Oryzias latipes: one gene and its partners. The protein of the gene in region 1 interacts with the protein of each later gene in a pairwise test. Links are inferred from orthologs where the notes say so. Each region holds a gene or a part of one and is shown in the gene's direction. Other genes may lie near its edges.

The links. The genes of interacting proteins can lie anywhere in the genome.
Region 2: the proteins of exoc1 (region 1) and ccdc88a interact in a two-hybrid assay, tested with the Homo sapiens proteins (2 studies listed by BioGRID and IntAct). The link is inferred for Oryzias latipes from reciprocal best matches to the Homo sapiens genes EXOC1 and CCDC88A.
Region 3: the proteins of exoc1 (region 1) and nup54 interact in binary tests that used the Homo sapiens proteins (3 or more experiments, as listed by UniProt). The link is inferred for Oryzias latipes from reciprocal best matches to the Homo sapiens genes EXOC1 and NUP54.

What each region holds. Positions count from the first base shown.
Region 1 is NC_019862.2:72,521-77,681, reverse strand, and holds the end of exoc1 (exocyst complex component 1), read left to right. Parts: intron 1-465; coding exon 466-510; intron 511-829; coding exon 830-993; intron 994-1,072; coding exon 1,073-1,186; intron 1,187-2,350; coding exon 2,351-2,427; intron 2,428-2,531; coding exon 2,532-2,760; intron 2,761-2,853; coding exon 2,854-3,037; intron 3,038-3,280; coding exon 3,281-3,480; intron 3,481-3,559; coding exon 3,560-3,754; intron 3,755-3,836; coding exon 3,837-3,989; 3' UTR 3,990-4,253; downstream 4,254-5,161. Other genes in the region: cep135 (centrosomal protein of 135 kDa), read left to right, coding at 4,774-4,886, 4,955-5,145.
Region 2 is NC_019873.2:15,835,287-15,839,791, reverse strand, and holds part of ccdc88a (girdin), read left to right. Parts: coding exon 1-44; intron 45-369; coding exon 370-556; intron 557-637; coding exon 638-783; intron 784-921; coding exon 922-1,014; intron 1,015-1,091; coding exon 1,092-1,294; intron 1,295-1,472; coding exon 1,473-1,520; intron 1,521-3,798; coding exon 3,799-3,876; intron 3,877-4,505. UniProt on the Homo sapiens protein: Bifunctional modulator of guanine nucleotide-binding proteins (G proteins). Acts as a non-receptor guanine nucleotide exchange factor which binds to and activates guanine nucleotide-binding protein G(i) alpha subunits.
Region 3 is NC_019870.2:10,476,654-10,481,158, reverse strand, and holds the end of nup54 (nucleoporin p54), read left to right. Parts: intron 1-238; coding exon 239-332; intron 333-1,312; coding exon 1,313-1,420; intron 1,421-2,541; coding exon 2,542-2,661; intron 2,662-3,405; coding exon 3,406-3,516; intron 3,517-3,595; coding exon 3,596-3,724; 3' UTR 3,725-4,068; downstream 4,069-4,505. UniProt on the Homo sapiens protein: Component of the nuclear pore complex, a complex required for the trafficking across the nuclear membrane.

The sequences.
Region 1 (5,161 bases):
ACCTGCTGCCCACCGGGCTGTATTGCTGTTAATGTTATGTGATGTATGAAATCAAAAATCAGTGTAATATTCAAGTTGATTCTTCTTTTTCAATTTGCCTTTTCTGCAACACTTCTCTTGGCTGAATATATTTGACAGAACTTCTTTGGGTTTCTAAAGTGTTTTTGTCTTGTTTTATTTTTCATTTCTGTTTCTTCTTTCCCTTGCACAGGCACTTTACTCGCTCAAATATCATTTTTTAATGTGTAAATTTGACCCTTAGTTGAGCTCTATTTTTTTTTGCAAAATTATAGTACAATGACTATGAAAACCAAGCCATTTGTTTTTCCTGAGCTCCTTCTAAAGCCCCTGCAATGCATGGCAATGCATGTGTTGCGTCTAATATCTGTCTTCCTCTCCTCCATGCTGCATGTTTAAAGCTAACTTGTGTCTGTCTTTGATGCCTGCATTTCTAACTGGCTGTAGCCACGCTTCCGCGGAAAGAGAGCACGCTCAAACAGGAACCAGAAAGTAAGTACAACGCTTGGATCCAGCTGTCAGTTACTCACTGTTTCTCATTCCTTTGCTCAAATTTGTTTTGAAATTTCGTCTTTGCTCTAATACATTGCTGCATAAGTCATTACTTATAACTGTTTTTTTTTTTGTGTTTGATGTAAAGCTGATCATTTCATTTCATTCCACATTAAACACCAAAAAAGCAAACGGTTTACATCAACTTTATTTTGAATTTTTTCAGAACTAAACATGCAGTGACTTAAATTCCTGTGTAGTTTGAATTATGCTCCTGTCATACTGATGCTCATGTTTGATCTCTGCTGTGCCACGTCAGGCCTGCATGGCAGCTCTGGGAAGCTGACGGGTTCCACCTCGAGTCTGAACAAGCTTACAGTGCAGGGCTCCAACAGCCGGCGTTCCCAGTCTTCCTCGCTGCTGGATATGGGCAACATGTCTGCGTCGGATCTGGATGTGGCAGACAGGACCAAGTTTGACAAGGCAACATAGCGTTAAAAGCAGAATTAGAAAATTTTTGTTGTAATCAGAAGAATAAGTGTGGGCTTGTTCGTCTGTGCAGATATTTGAGCAGGTCCTCAGTGAGCTGGAGCCACTGTGTCTGGCAGAGCAGGACTTCATCAGCAAGTTCTTTAAACTTCAGCAGCACCAAACGGTTATGCCCCCTCTTGCACAGGTACATCAGTTATCATATATTACTAAAACAGTTTCAACTAGGGATGTCTAAAGTCGATCATTTGATTGGATATTGGGCCTGATCATGTGGTTTTAGACTCGATCGGAATCTGATCCCGATTAGGGATTAGAATATTTAATTCATATTAGGCTGGGAAGCTGGTCGATTCTTTCTGAAGTCAATCACAATCTCTGTGCTCTTGTCCACACTGAGCAGCAGGTGATTTATTCCAAGCCCATCTCACAAATTCATCCACAAGCTCCCTGTATTCGTTCTCCCGTCCACCTTATATGACACTAGTTTGAGCAGTAAACGCTCAAAATGTTCAGTAAAGTTGGCAAGATATTCACAGATTCAGACTTCCAGGCTCAATAACTTTTTTAATTTATGATTTAAACTGACGGCAAGTGTTCCTATGGATTGGCCTTAACTTAAACAACCTACAAAAGCATTTCAAAAGAGAAAAGATTGGGTTTTTGTTTCTTTTTAATGAGAATTGCTCTCCATTCTGCCGAAAGACAGCAGTAAGACGGCTGCCAAGGGATCGTCTCCAAAGTGCAAGCTCCAGGAAAAAAATAATTAAACAGAAAAATCCCAAATCCTTCAAAAACAACCAAAACTAATAAACAGTTCCATTGATAGGAGCTAGTTATGAAAACTCATCATCTTTTCCATGCTAAATGATTTTGAGAGAAAGTCAAAATTCATTTTAAATTTTTTTTAATGAAGATATGAATCATATCTGATCAAAAATATTTAATAGTTGTGAAGATCTTAAAGCTACAGTCACAAAACCTTCTTACATTACTAAATCTCACCCACTTTAATAAGTTAAATAGTTAACCATTTTTCTAGTTGATTTTTCTTTACTTGATTGTTCACTTTATTTCATATAACTGTTCTGTTTAGGTGTTAGGTTATAAAATAAGGGTAATACAATTAAAAATAGTGGGAAACCTGGATCTGCTTATTAAATTTGTTCATTTTTTTAATGTGTTACAAAAGTATCTGATTTGGACTCAATCGGCAGGTACTCAAAATCAAAGACTCAAAATCGAATTGGGGCCAAAAAAACTTGACCCAGACATCCCTAGTTTCAACTTAATATGTTAATCTGCTTTATTAGAGACTAGGATTTGCCCTCATGTTTATTTGTTGCATCAGCCTGAGACAGAGGAGTTAGACGGAAGCACAGCATCAAGAATCCCCCCACAGAACGATCACAGACACTCATCATCAGAGTCAGTGCTTTCCCTTTGCTACCAACGTCTCTGATGTCAATTTGACCTGCTGTAAAATTTCAACTGTGCTCACAGTACTTGTTCACTTGCTTTTTTGACTGAAGGAAGGACATGGTGCGGCTGATGATGAATAAAATCTTCCAAAGCATTGAGACAGAGCTGAACAGCCTCATCGCTCTGGGCGACAAGATTGACAGCTTCCATTCTCTGTATATGCTGGTGAAGATGAGTCACCATGTGTGGACGGCGGAGAACGTGGACCCTGCCTCTTTTCTCAGCACCACCCTGGGAAACGTGCTGGTCACTGTCAAGAGGAACTTTGACAAATGCATAGTGAGTGGGGTCGACTTATTTTTCTATATTCCTACTGCTTGCATTTTGTTTTACAATAAATTGTTATAAGTTTGAATATGTTCTCATATGCAGCTGGGTCAAATAAGACAGATGGAGGAGGTGAAGATTCCTAAGAAAACCAAAGTGGGCATCCTCCCATTTGTTACAGCTTTTGAAGAGTTTGCAGAGCTTGCTGAGACCATCTTTCGAAACGCAGAGCGCAGAGGCGACCTGGATAAGGCTTATGTCAAGCTGATCAAGGCTGTCTTTGTGAACGGTGAGACCGCTAGTCTGATGCTACTTTCACACCAGGCATGTGACATGCATTCTTGAATGCACTAAATGCGCATTCTTGAATGTGCGTTAACGCAGAACCCCGAAACGCGCATTTACTCGTGTTTACATAGACTTTCCATTGAAAGTGGTTGCTTGAACGTGGATTGCAGAGGACTGCGTGAACATAGCTTTAAACAGACAAAAGCAAGTGAGCTGCAAGTGACATCATGTGGTTCTCTTTTAGTGGAAAAGGTGGCAAATGAGAGCCAGAAGACGCCGCGGGATGTTGTGATGATGGAAAATTTCCACCACATTTTTTCCACTCTGTCCCGTCTGAAGATCTCCTGCTTGGATGCAGAGAAACGAGAGGCAAAGCATAAATACACTGACCATCTGCAGTCCTATGTGATCAACTCGCTGGGCCAACCTCTGGAAAAACTCAACGTATGAAGAATTTTCCTCATCACAGGTTCTGATGGTCAAAAGTGTGTTATCTGAGGGTATCTTTATGGTTGATTTGCAGCATTTCTTTGAGGGGGTTGAATCCCGCGTTGCTCAGGGCGTTCGTGAGGACGAGGTGAGCTACCAGCTGGCATTTAACAAGCAAGAGCTGCGCAAAGTCATCAAAGAGTATCCTGGGAAAGAGGTGAAGAAAGGCCTGGATAACCTTTACAAGAAGGTGGATAAACATCTATGTGAAGAAGAAAGTTTACTCCAGGTCAGAACGCTATGAGATCCAACTTGTAGTTGGCATGTTTTCTCTTCGTGACTCCAAAAGACTTTTTGATTAATTTCATCAGGTGGTGTGGCATTCCATGCAAGATGAGTTCATCCGTCAGTACAAGCACTTTGAGGATTTGATTGGCAGATGCTACCCTGGATCTGGGATCACCATGGAGTTCACCATCCAGGATGTGCTGGAGTACTTCTCCAGCATTGCTCAGTCACATTAGTTTTGCTGCTGTCCATTAATGAGTAACTACTGCCACTCACTGGCTAGAAATACAAGAGCAACTTAAAAACTGGTGCTTTCTTATACAAGCATGAATATTTCATTCTGTCTTTAAAAGAAATTGTAGACTGGACTGTGGTGGAGATACTGCATTTTCTTATCTCGCCTGTTTTTTCCACGTTTAAAAGCTTCTGCTTCACATGAAACTGTTTGTCCCGTTCCTGTATATCACTTAGTATATAATAAATTTTACAAGTGAAGCGTCGCCACTGGATACATGTTTGTTTTAATCGTCAGCAAATCAGCGTGAAAGTTCTGAGTGTATGGGTTGTCACTAACCCGCCCCCGCGGGCAATGCCGAATGACAAAACAAGCGGTTTCCATGCCCTTTTGAATTACATGGTGACGAATGCGAAAACGACGGCGCTCTTTTTAAACCGCTTTACCGCGGAAACACCGAATTCTTCAAACTGGCTGGGAAGTTTACATCGATTCATGAACTGAGGATGGAACTAGTTATCGACGCAGTTAACCTGGATGTTTGAATTGTGGATGGTTTACGTTGCTAGCTAACATTAGCCACCAGAGTGGACACTCGCTTTCTAACAAACAAGGTGAAGGTAACCTGTAAACTTCATTGTGTTTCTCCTTGGTTTAAAAGCAAGTGGCTTTTTAAAAAAAATGCGGTAGCTTATTTACTTATTAAAACAAAAAAACTTTGTTTTTAGGATGTCCACTAGCTTAGTTTGAGGTTTTCGAATGAATCCCGTCTTCTTCATGCAGCCATGAACAGCAGCGCAGAGAGGAAGTTCGTTAATTTACGGAAACGTCTGGATCAGCTGGGCTACCGACAGCCGGTCGGAATCGAGTCCTTGCCTCTGGTGGATAAACTGTTCAGGTGAAGCCCTCTCCTCCATCTGTGTCCATTAACCCCAAGCCACACGTGACGCATGCTCTGTTGTTCAGTGATCTGGTCCACACCACCGAGAGCTTACGCAATGCCAAATCATCAGCTGGAAAGACTGAGGAGGAGAGCAGGAGCGTGGATGCTCTGCTGGAGCCCTACAGAGCGGAGAACGCCAGGGTGGTCCGGGAGAACAACAAGCTGCACCTCGATCTCCTCAAACTAAGGGAGGAGAAGGATCGAGTCACCAGAGGTGAACAGCAGGTCCT
Region 2 (4,505 bases), on another chromosome or scaffold:
GCCACAGCTGACCAGTACAAAATGCTTAAAGAGGAGAATGAAAGGTCAGGGGAAACTATGTCAAAATGCTTTTTGTGAACAAATCATAGGCACTGTTTTCTTTTGCATGATGAAAAACCCCCACAGTCCCTTAAGTTGTTGTGTATGAGCCACCTACACATGCTTTAATGCCAAATCTTATGGCATCTGTGAAATTAAAGAACTCCTCAACATCAAGACAATTCTATTTTTCCTTTACTAGAAAGTATCCTGTCTTTGGCTAGGACAATCCTCAAATCTAGAGATTTTCTCTTTTTGTGCACAGGAGGAAAATCTAAATCTAAAAATAAATGATCCTGCTGTCATTTGATAAAATGTCCCTCTTTTCAGATTGAATTCAAGCTATCGTCAGCTGTTGAAGGACAATGAGAATCTTCAGCTGGATCATAAGAGCATAAAAAGCCAGCTGAACAGTGCCAAACTGGAGCAAACCAAGCTGGAAGCTGAGTTCTCTAAACTGAAGGAGCAGTACCAGCAGCTGGACATCACCTCCACCAAGCTCACAAACCAGTGTGAAGTGAGTAGAGCATCATTTTCTTTCATGTTTCCATGAATTTTTTTTCCAGCCTCTAAAACAATCTTTTTTTTCTGATTTTAGTTACTAAGCCAACTCAAAGGAAACTTGGAGGAAGAAAACCGCCATCTGTTGGACCAAATCCAGACCCTCATGTTACAGAATCGCACACTTCTGGAACAAACGATGGAGAGCAAGGACCTGTTCCATGTTGAGCAAAGACAATACATGTAAATCCAGAGCAAAACTTTTTTTTTTGAATCTGTTTTAACAAAAAAAACTGTCTAAATGCATCACAAGAGAGATTTTGGTTTCAGGCGAAGAAACACAAATACTAAGATTTTGATTTCCTCTCTGAATTTTTTTAGCGACAAATTAAATGAGCTGAGGAGGCAAAAGGAGAAGCTAGAAGAGAAGATCATGGACCAATACAAATTTTATGACCCTTCACCACCACGCAGGTAACTGAGGGTTCCAAATGAAAAACAAACAGAAACGTGTCAACACAGTGTTTGAGATGACATGATTTTTCTTGTAGGCGTGGTAACTGGATCACTCTGAAGATGAAAAAGCTAATAAAGCCGAAGAGTCGGGAGAGGATGCGTTCCCTCACGCTGACTCCATCTCACTCAGAATGCGGTGACGGTTTCCTGACGCTTCCCATAGACAGCCAGGACAGCTCATCTATCGGCTCTGGCTCCAACTCGCTGGATGACACTCTGAAACAGAAAAGTAGCATCAGTGAGTACCAACTGCAGCTTTTGTTTAAAAGGCTGATTAAAAGGCTCCTCTGCACCCTTGAAACATCCAGGCTGTCAAACTGTCCTGCTTTAGTGGGTTTGTACAGTATATCTGAATGTTGACATGAGGCTTTTCCTTCCTAACTGCTCATTTGCTTCTTTATCTCTCTGCAAAAAAGGGAGGAGAGGGCAGCAGTCCCATGCCCAAGGGCAGGGTTCCTCCAATGGTATGCTGCGGATTGGGAGGGAGGGCGGGGCTTATGATCCGACTGTCATGTCTCTGGGGGCATGTTTTCGTGAGTCCATTGTCTGTGTCACTCGACAGTCATAGAGGTTACAGCTGAGCTGCGCAGAAAAACAAGGTTGACTGGTGAAATATCGCCTTGAACAGAATGGGTGCACTTGATTCCTGCTGTCGTATTTGTGTTCAAAGAATTGCTAAATAAGCAAATCACTGGTGTCAGTGAAAGTACACAACAGGTCCAAAGTTTTACAACAGTCCAGTGTTTTCAATTCCAGCTGGCAAGTGTGTAGAGTAATGTCTTAATGCACTCTAAAATGTTGGAAAAAGAAATGTGGGAATCAAGTTTTAGACCTAAGTCGGCTGTCTGCAACCTTTAATTCTAAAAGAGCCATTTGGTCTGTTTTTTTTTTTACAGACTATAGCTTTCAAAGATTTACAATACTTGAGTTATAATAGTTTTATGATTTTAATATTATTTTTGACAGCAGCCCTTCAAAATAAAATACACCCTTAGTCGAAAAGATCCTCCTGCCGCAGCAAAATTTACCTGAATTAAGAATACAAGAAAGCCAGATCAGACAGCATTTTCTATCATTATGGTGCACTGGCAATCCTTTTTTACCATTAAACATAAACTTGAAGATTTCTTTAAAAAAATTATAGGTTACGTGTAAATGCAATTAACTCGGCCTCTGAACAGCAGCTAGATTTTGTGCTTTAAGCTTATTTTGGTTATAAACCCCTCTGACTGCAGATTAAACCGATTACCATCATTTTGCTCTATCTGTTATCATAATTGATAACTCTAGGTGTATTTCTACCAGAGAACTGTAGGCTGGAGCCTTCTCTTCAAAGCTCAATCTGAGATCTGCTAACAAAGCTCACAGTTGAGCTGTGCTTGAAGCTTTCTCCTGTATTTGGCTCCCGCAGATGTTAACTCTCAGAAACTTGTCCTCTGATTCAGTTGGGACCTTGTTTATAGTGGTCAGTCTATCTTCCATTGCCTTTTTCTTGTCATTCTCAAACATTATTTTCAACTGTATGATATTGTTTAACTGAAGGTTAGGTACCACATTCTCTTTTGATATTGATATTTATTATGTTCAGCTTAATAATTAATAATCACGTGAATCAAGAGCACCCTGTGTGGTTCAAACATCAACTTCTACAGCTGTATTTCAGCCCCACATCTGTTTGAGTTATACCTTCAAAAGCTTAGAGGCCCTTATGAACTGACCTGTTGGTCTGTGCTGCTCACCTGTAAAACAGACATAAGTTACCATAGCATCATAGATATTAAATGGTGCAATTCATTGTGGCTCAGATTTAATCCTGACACAACAGGTTCTTCACATTCAGAGCTTCTTATGGGGTACTTAGAATTGCAGTTTTTTTTTAGTTTAGTTTAGTAGGTCGGCGTGCAAATGTACCACGAATCATTCCTAGCAGTCAATTAATGGCAGCATTAGCTGCAGTTTATTCTTTATGGTCCCCTCCCTCCCTATTGCACCCTTTAATACGGTTTGTCGTCCATGTCTCATCTAGGTTTCTTCATGTATGGTTATGTCGTTTGTAGTATGTCATTTATGAAACCAGTTTTAGGTGCGGTAAACAGATTTTAGAACCGCTACCCTAAGGAAAGTGTTGTGCCGATAGAATGTGAAAGTGTGTGTTCCCATAACATGCAACATGCTTTTGTTTTTGTTTTCTCCTCTTTTTGTTGACATGTTTTTGTATAATATTCATCTCTTCAGTATTTTTCCGCATTTACACTTAGTTAGTCAGAGGCTTTCCTGTTTATTTGAGAAACTTGCACAGAAATGTACAAATTGGTTTTTATTTTATTATTTTTTTAATCTTAGTTGTAAAATTTAATACACATGATGGGGACTTTAAGCCATTTAACTTCCCTCTAACTAAACAACATTTTATATCCGTTTTTCAGTATATTTCTTACCTTATTTTTAATAGAATATTAATAAAAGATAGAATTCCTATTACTGTACAGTTTTTAGGAAAGCCTAGTTAATGATCTGATCATCGGTCTGTATTGTCTGTTTAGTTGAGTGTCCAGAACTCAGCTTTTTTCTGCTCATGTCTTCCCTGGCCCCAAATGTGCTAACGTTAACCACATCCGTCTGTTCTGTCCTTCTTTTTCTATTTTTTTTCTTCTACTCCTCTACCTCCCCTGGGCTTGCTCTGTCACTCTCCCTCCCCCTGTCCGTCTCACTGTCCGTCTGTCTCTGGCGGCACTCTGACAGCTATAAAAAGGTTGCCTTTCATGAGGAACAGATCCAAGGACAAAGACAAGGTCAAGGCCATCTACCGGCGCTCCATGTGTAAGACCTCCGATAGCCGTCACGCTAGCCTTCCTCTCCCTCCTATTGTGGTGTGCTGCGAGAAACAAAGGAGGACGAAGCCGCTGATGTCAGGGCGGGAGCATTGTGGGATGATAACAGAGCAGCTCAGGTTTCCTTCCCAGCTGCTGTGACTGAACAGTTTGGTCAGAGTTTGTAGATTTCTCTTGTTTTGTTCCCCCACGCTGCTCCTGGTGACATCAGTTGCTTTTCCTCAACTCTTTCCTAGTAAAGACCACGCCTACATCACTTCCTCTGCCAAACGCATTATGCTCCACCCTTCCCTGTAGACCTATAAGCCTTCACCAATGAAATTCACTTCGTTGTCATAATGTATTGATAAAACATTTAAAAACAATCACATGTAGGTATAAGGGACATGGATGTGAGTCATGGTATTCTTTTTTGTGTTGTGTTGTCTTGTTTTTTTGCATTGTATCCAAAGCAAACTGTTTTGTCGCTACATGAATCAGCGTGCCGCTTGGTGTCATCTGTGGGGTCATTTTGTCTTTTTGAATGAATGAAAGGCTTTTTGAAGTTGTCAGGTTGGCTGTTCAGCTGAGATGGTAGGAGACACTGTGGTCCTGTCTTTCACAAGCCTGCAACAGTTT
Region 3 (4,505 bases), on another chromosome or scaffold:
ACTTTTTTGTGTGTGTATTTTATTGCATTTGGAGAAAGTAAAGTACTTTTAGAAATTTTGACATGAAAAGTGCTTCATAAAGTTAATAAAATGATGAGAGCGTGCCATAATCCAGAGGCAGAGCCGGGCCAATGGAAGACAGCTGCACAGACATTACATAAACGTAATTCTAACAGGTTCATTTTCTACTTTTTGGTCAGTTAAGAAGTAATTTCCAGACGTTCGTCTCTTCTTTCAGGTTATTCCCAGTGCCCATGGTTGGATTTAAAGAGCTGCTGCGCAGGTTGCAGATCCAGGAACAGATGACCAAACAGCACCAGACCAGAGTGGATGTGAGTGAGATGAAAAATAGTTTGTGGCTCTTGGTTGCCGTTTTAGAAGTACCGGTGCACAAAACCATCTGATATCAACGCAGGAATTCTGAAACTGTGGTCAAGGCCCGAGCGCAGATGTTCGCGCTCGCTGCCAACTGTTTGTTTTTTATTTTGAAGTTATTTTTACAAATACAGCTGCAGGTGTTTTCACCGGGGGGTTCAAAATTGACAATGTATTTCATAAAACGTGTACACACTAGCTTTAGAATAATGCTTTTAACTATTCAGTTAACCACCCTAAATATGGTGATTTTAAATGGAGTCATTATTTACAGATTAGTTTTGGATTGGAAGATAATCCAATATTATTATAAAAAGAAGTTTAATAATGTAATTCGAATCATTTAAAAACTGATACAACTTGGTGGAACAAAACTAGGACTGCACAATATGAGGAAAACTCATGATTTGTGATATTATTGATCAACATTGCGATGACGATATAATTTGCGATGCATGAAGAAATTGCGAAACAACTAAGTACAGAATTTCCATTTCACTGCTACAGTTTAATTTAAATAAGAGTCAACATAACTTAAATTATTCTTCCAATGACCCTCGTCTACATGGGAGGCAAACATCTAACTTAAAAGGGCTCCATGCGATTGGTTAATTATGTAAAGGAGTACTTCTGATTGGTCAAATGCAAAAAGGCATTTTATGATCCATTAAATTCTTCAAGCTGGCATGAGATTGTTGTAGCACATTTAAGGTAAATATTTATTGGAATTTTTGCCATCTTTTTTTATACGAATATTGCATAGCTTGACATCACTATAATGACAAATTTGCTATTTATTGTGCAGGTCTAAACAAAACAAATTATTATTATGCTTGAAGAAACTTTGAGAGGAACTCCAGGTGTGATGCTGGTAGTTTTTAGCATTAAGAACTATTAAAACGCAAAAAATCCAGTGCATTGTTGTTTGAAATTGCAGATTATATCGAATGACATCAGTGAACTGCAGAAGAACCAGGCTACAACCGTGGCCAAAATCGCTCAATACAAGAGGAAACTGATGGATCTGTCTCACAGGGTGCTGCAGGTAGCGTCCACATTTATCAGATTAGACTAAATTGTAATTACAGAGATGTCTGTATCAGACTGTCGGTATCAGTAATTCTTTTATTTAGAGCTTGTTAGAGTTTTTGTTTTTTTAAGTGCCTTAAAAGTTCTTTAGATCAAAAACCTCAGAGCTGGTTCTTTTCAACAGCTGATCTGCTCTGAGCTGCATTTTTGCAAGAATCGCCAGAAAGTCCAGACATTATCCTGCGAGGAAAAAAACAAAGATTTTTGAGAATATATTCAAAACATAAAAACTTGAGATGGACAAAGAAGAGTTGAGACAAGCTAGTAAAGACACTTGCTGTCAGTTTAAAAGATTTTCATACGAGGTATTTATCTCGCAAGTCCAAATCTGGGGTTATCTCGCCACCTTGACCAAACTGTTTTTGTGCACCTCCTGCCCAAGCTAATGCCGTATTCTATACACTTTCTGGCAATGTCAGGATCCTTTCATGATATAAAGACTTCTAATGGAGTATTACGTTGTAATAATGAGCCTGCAGCATATACCACTGATCATAAAAAGATTCAAATAAATATCCAATCCCTGTTTGGAATGCGAGTGGCGATTGTAAATGATCAGGCCCAATTTCCAATCATTTTCCTGATTTTTTTTCTATTAATACTGGAAATCACACTTTTGTTTGTTTGGGCAGTCCTATAATTTGACTTAAGAAAGGTGATGTTTTCTGATAAGAAACCGTAGCTATAAAAAAGTGCGTGGAAGGGGTTGAAAATGGATTTTTAAATGAGAGCCGCTGTTTGGACTTTTTGTTCACCTGCTGCAGAGACTGAATAATGAATCTTTCTTCAAGTCTGTAATCTTGCAGCTGTTGTTGATGATCAGGTGAAATCCCACTGAACTGGCGTTCCTGGCAAAATCTCCATAAAGCTGAGAGAAGTGTTTGTGTGGAGGCTCAGAGGCCCTCTGTCCTACATTCTTTCTCTCTGAAGGTTTTAATGTTGTCCGGTACTATTCTTCCAAGTAAACTGATGAATCCCATCTGTATATTCTATCACATTTGAATGTTTTGGCACTGCTTGCATTTATCTCCGCTCGGCAACACTGTCCTGTGTATCATTGCCATGTTTTCCTGGAAGGTTTTGATCAAACAGGAGATTCAAAGGAAAAGTGGCTACGCAATCCAAGTGGACGAGGAGCATCTCCGAGTGCAGCTGGACACCATTCAGTCCGAACTCAATGCCCCCACACAGTTCAAGGCAAGTCTCTGCAAACTGGAGCAGGAAGCTACTCTCACTGAAGGCTTTGGTCTGGAAGTAGACAAAATGGGTCTAAATTTGTAACTTTATAAAGCTGCATTTGACAATAGAAATAGCTATGTTGCCTCACTACTCCCTAACTACTAAAGGGCTATCTATGGTTCTGGAGTTAACATGCTTACTGCATTTTTTTGAACAGCAAACTTAATAACTATTGATATTTTACAAAGACTTTTTATGAATCCACTGTGTTCTGATGAGAAAAACTTTGAGGGTTTATACAAAATGAATGTAAAACACTTTTTTTTTTTAAATGAAAAATTGTTCAAATGCAGTTCATTGTGGTCGATATTCGCCAATCTAGTGAGCAGCGATGCACACTAGTTTCTCGGAGAGACTTCTTGGAAATTTCCAGGGCACTTGATTTTGGAATTGTAGATTCAAAAATCCCAAAAAATTGCACCAAGTGGTGAGTAGTGAGGGAATTTGGACACAACCCGTGTTATTAATCTTTGAATAATTTTAGTCCATCTTTGCGTATCTGCTGCTGTTTGGTGGTTTCGTGGACGTAGATGAGTCTAAATAGCTTAAAAAACAGCAATTATTTCATTTCTTAAGAAATAAGTCTTTGCCAATCTTTTTCGTTTTTGTAAAGTCTGTCATGTTTGTAAATCTAAAGTACTGTTGGAGATCAAACTGCCTTTGTGAAAACCCACCAATAACTGTTTCCCTCCTCTCATTAAGGGTCGGCTGAATGAATTAATGTCCCAAATCCGAATGCAGAACCACTTTGGAGCTGTGAGGTCAGAAGAGCGCTACAGTGTGGATGCAGACCTGCTCCGAGAAATCAAACAAGTGAGGGATCCTGTCACTCATTTGCTTGTACGACTGTCTATAATTTGTCGCTAAGCGTCTTCTTCTTTCCGTCATGCAGCACTTGAAGCAGCAGCAGGAAGGTCTGAGTCATCTGATCAGCGTCATTAAAGATGACCTGGAAGACATCAAATTAATAGAGCATGGGCTGAGCGACAGTGGACACATGAGAGGGGGCATCCTGAGCTGATTCCAACCTCTCAAAGCCTCTTCACACACTCTGACCCTTTATTTTGAAAAGCAGAACATCTTTCTTCCAGACCATTCTATTTTGCGATCTTCAGATTTGCTCGTTGCAGAAAAAAAATCCCGGGCTTTCCAATCAGTACAGCAAAACGACTGCGTAATCTGGATTGATACAGACAGCTCAATGGAATGATCAGTGTCTAATAATAGCCACGTCAATCAGATTATGCACATGTGACTGCCAGTGCTTTGTAAACAAAGAGGTGTTAAGTGTGTCAAGATGTAAATACATCTTTGTATTTTTTTTAACTATTAGAATACTAATAAATTTAAATTCTAAACCTTTAATGGTCTGTTTTTGTAGTAACTAGATGCTGTAATATGAACTAAATGTTTATCTACTTCCTTGCATTTCTGCTTACCTTATATTTAAACTATGGTACACCTGACACCATTGTTTACCTGCAGACTTCCACTTTTCTATATCTCATCAAAGCAGGGCTTGAGTTGATAGGATTTACATTTAGGCTTTGCATCCCTGCAGGGATGAAAAGACTGATTGGCAGCTGGACTGGTTAGGCAGCTTTCAAGCAGATTAGAACCCCCACATGTAGTCGGGTCACCCATGCATCTTAAGGGTTTGCACCACAGTCGGTTTGCAGGTTTTACCAACCAGAGACGTGGGAGGAAATGCAGAATTTAATACAATAACGAAACCCAATTTATTCAGTTAGTCTGCACAATATTGAGAAATTTTTAAAAATGGAGATTTTTATTGGTTTTTG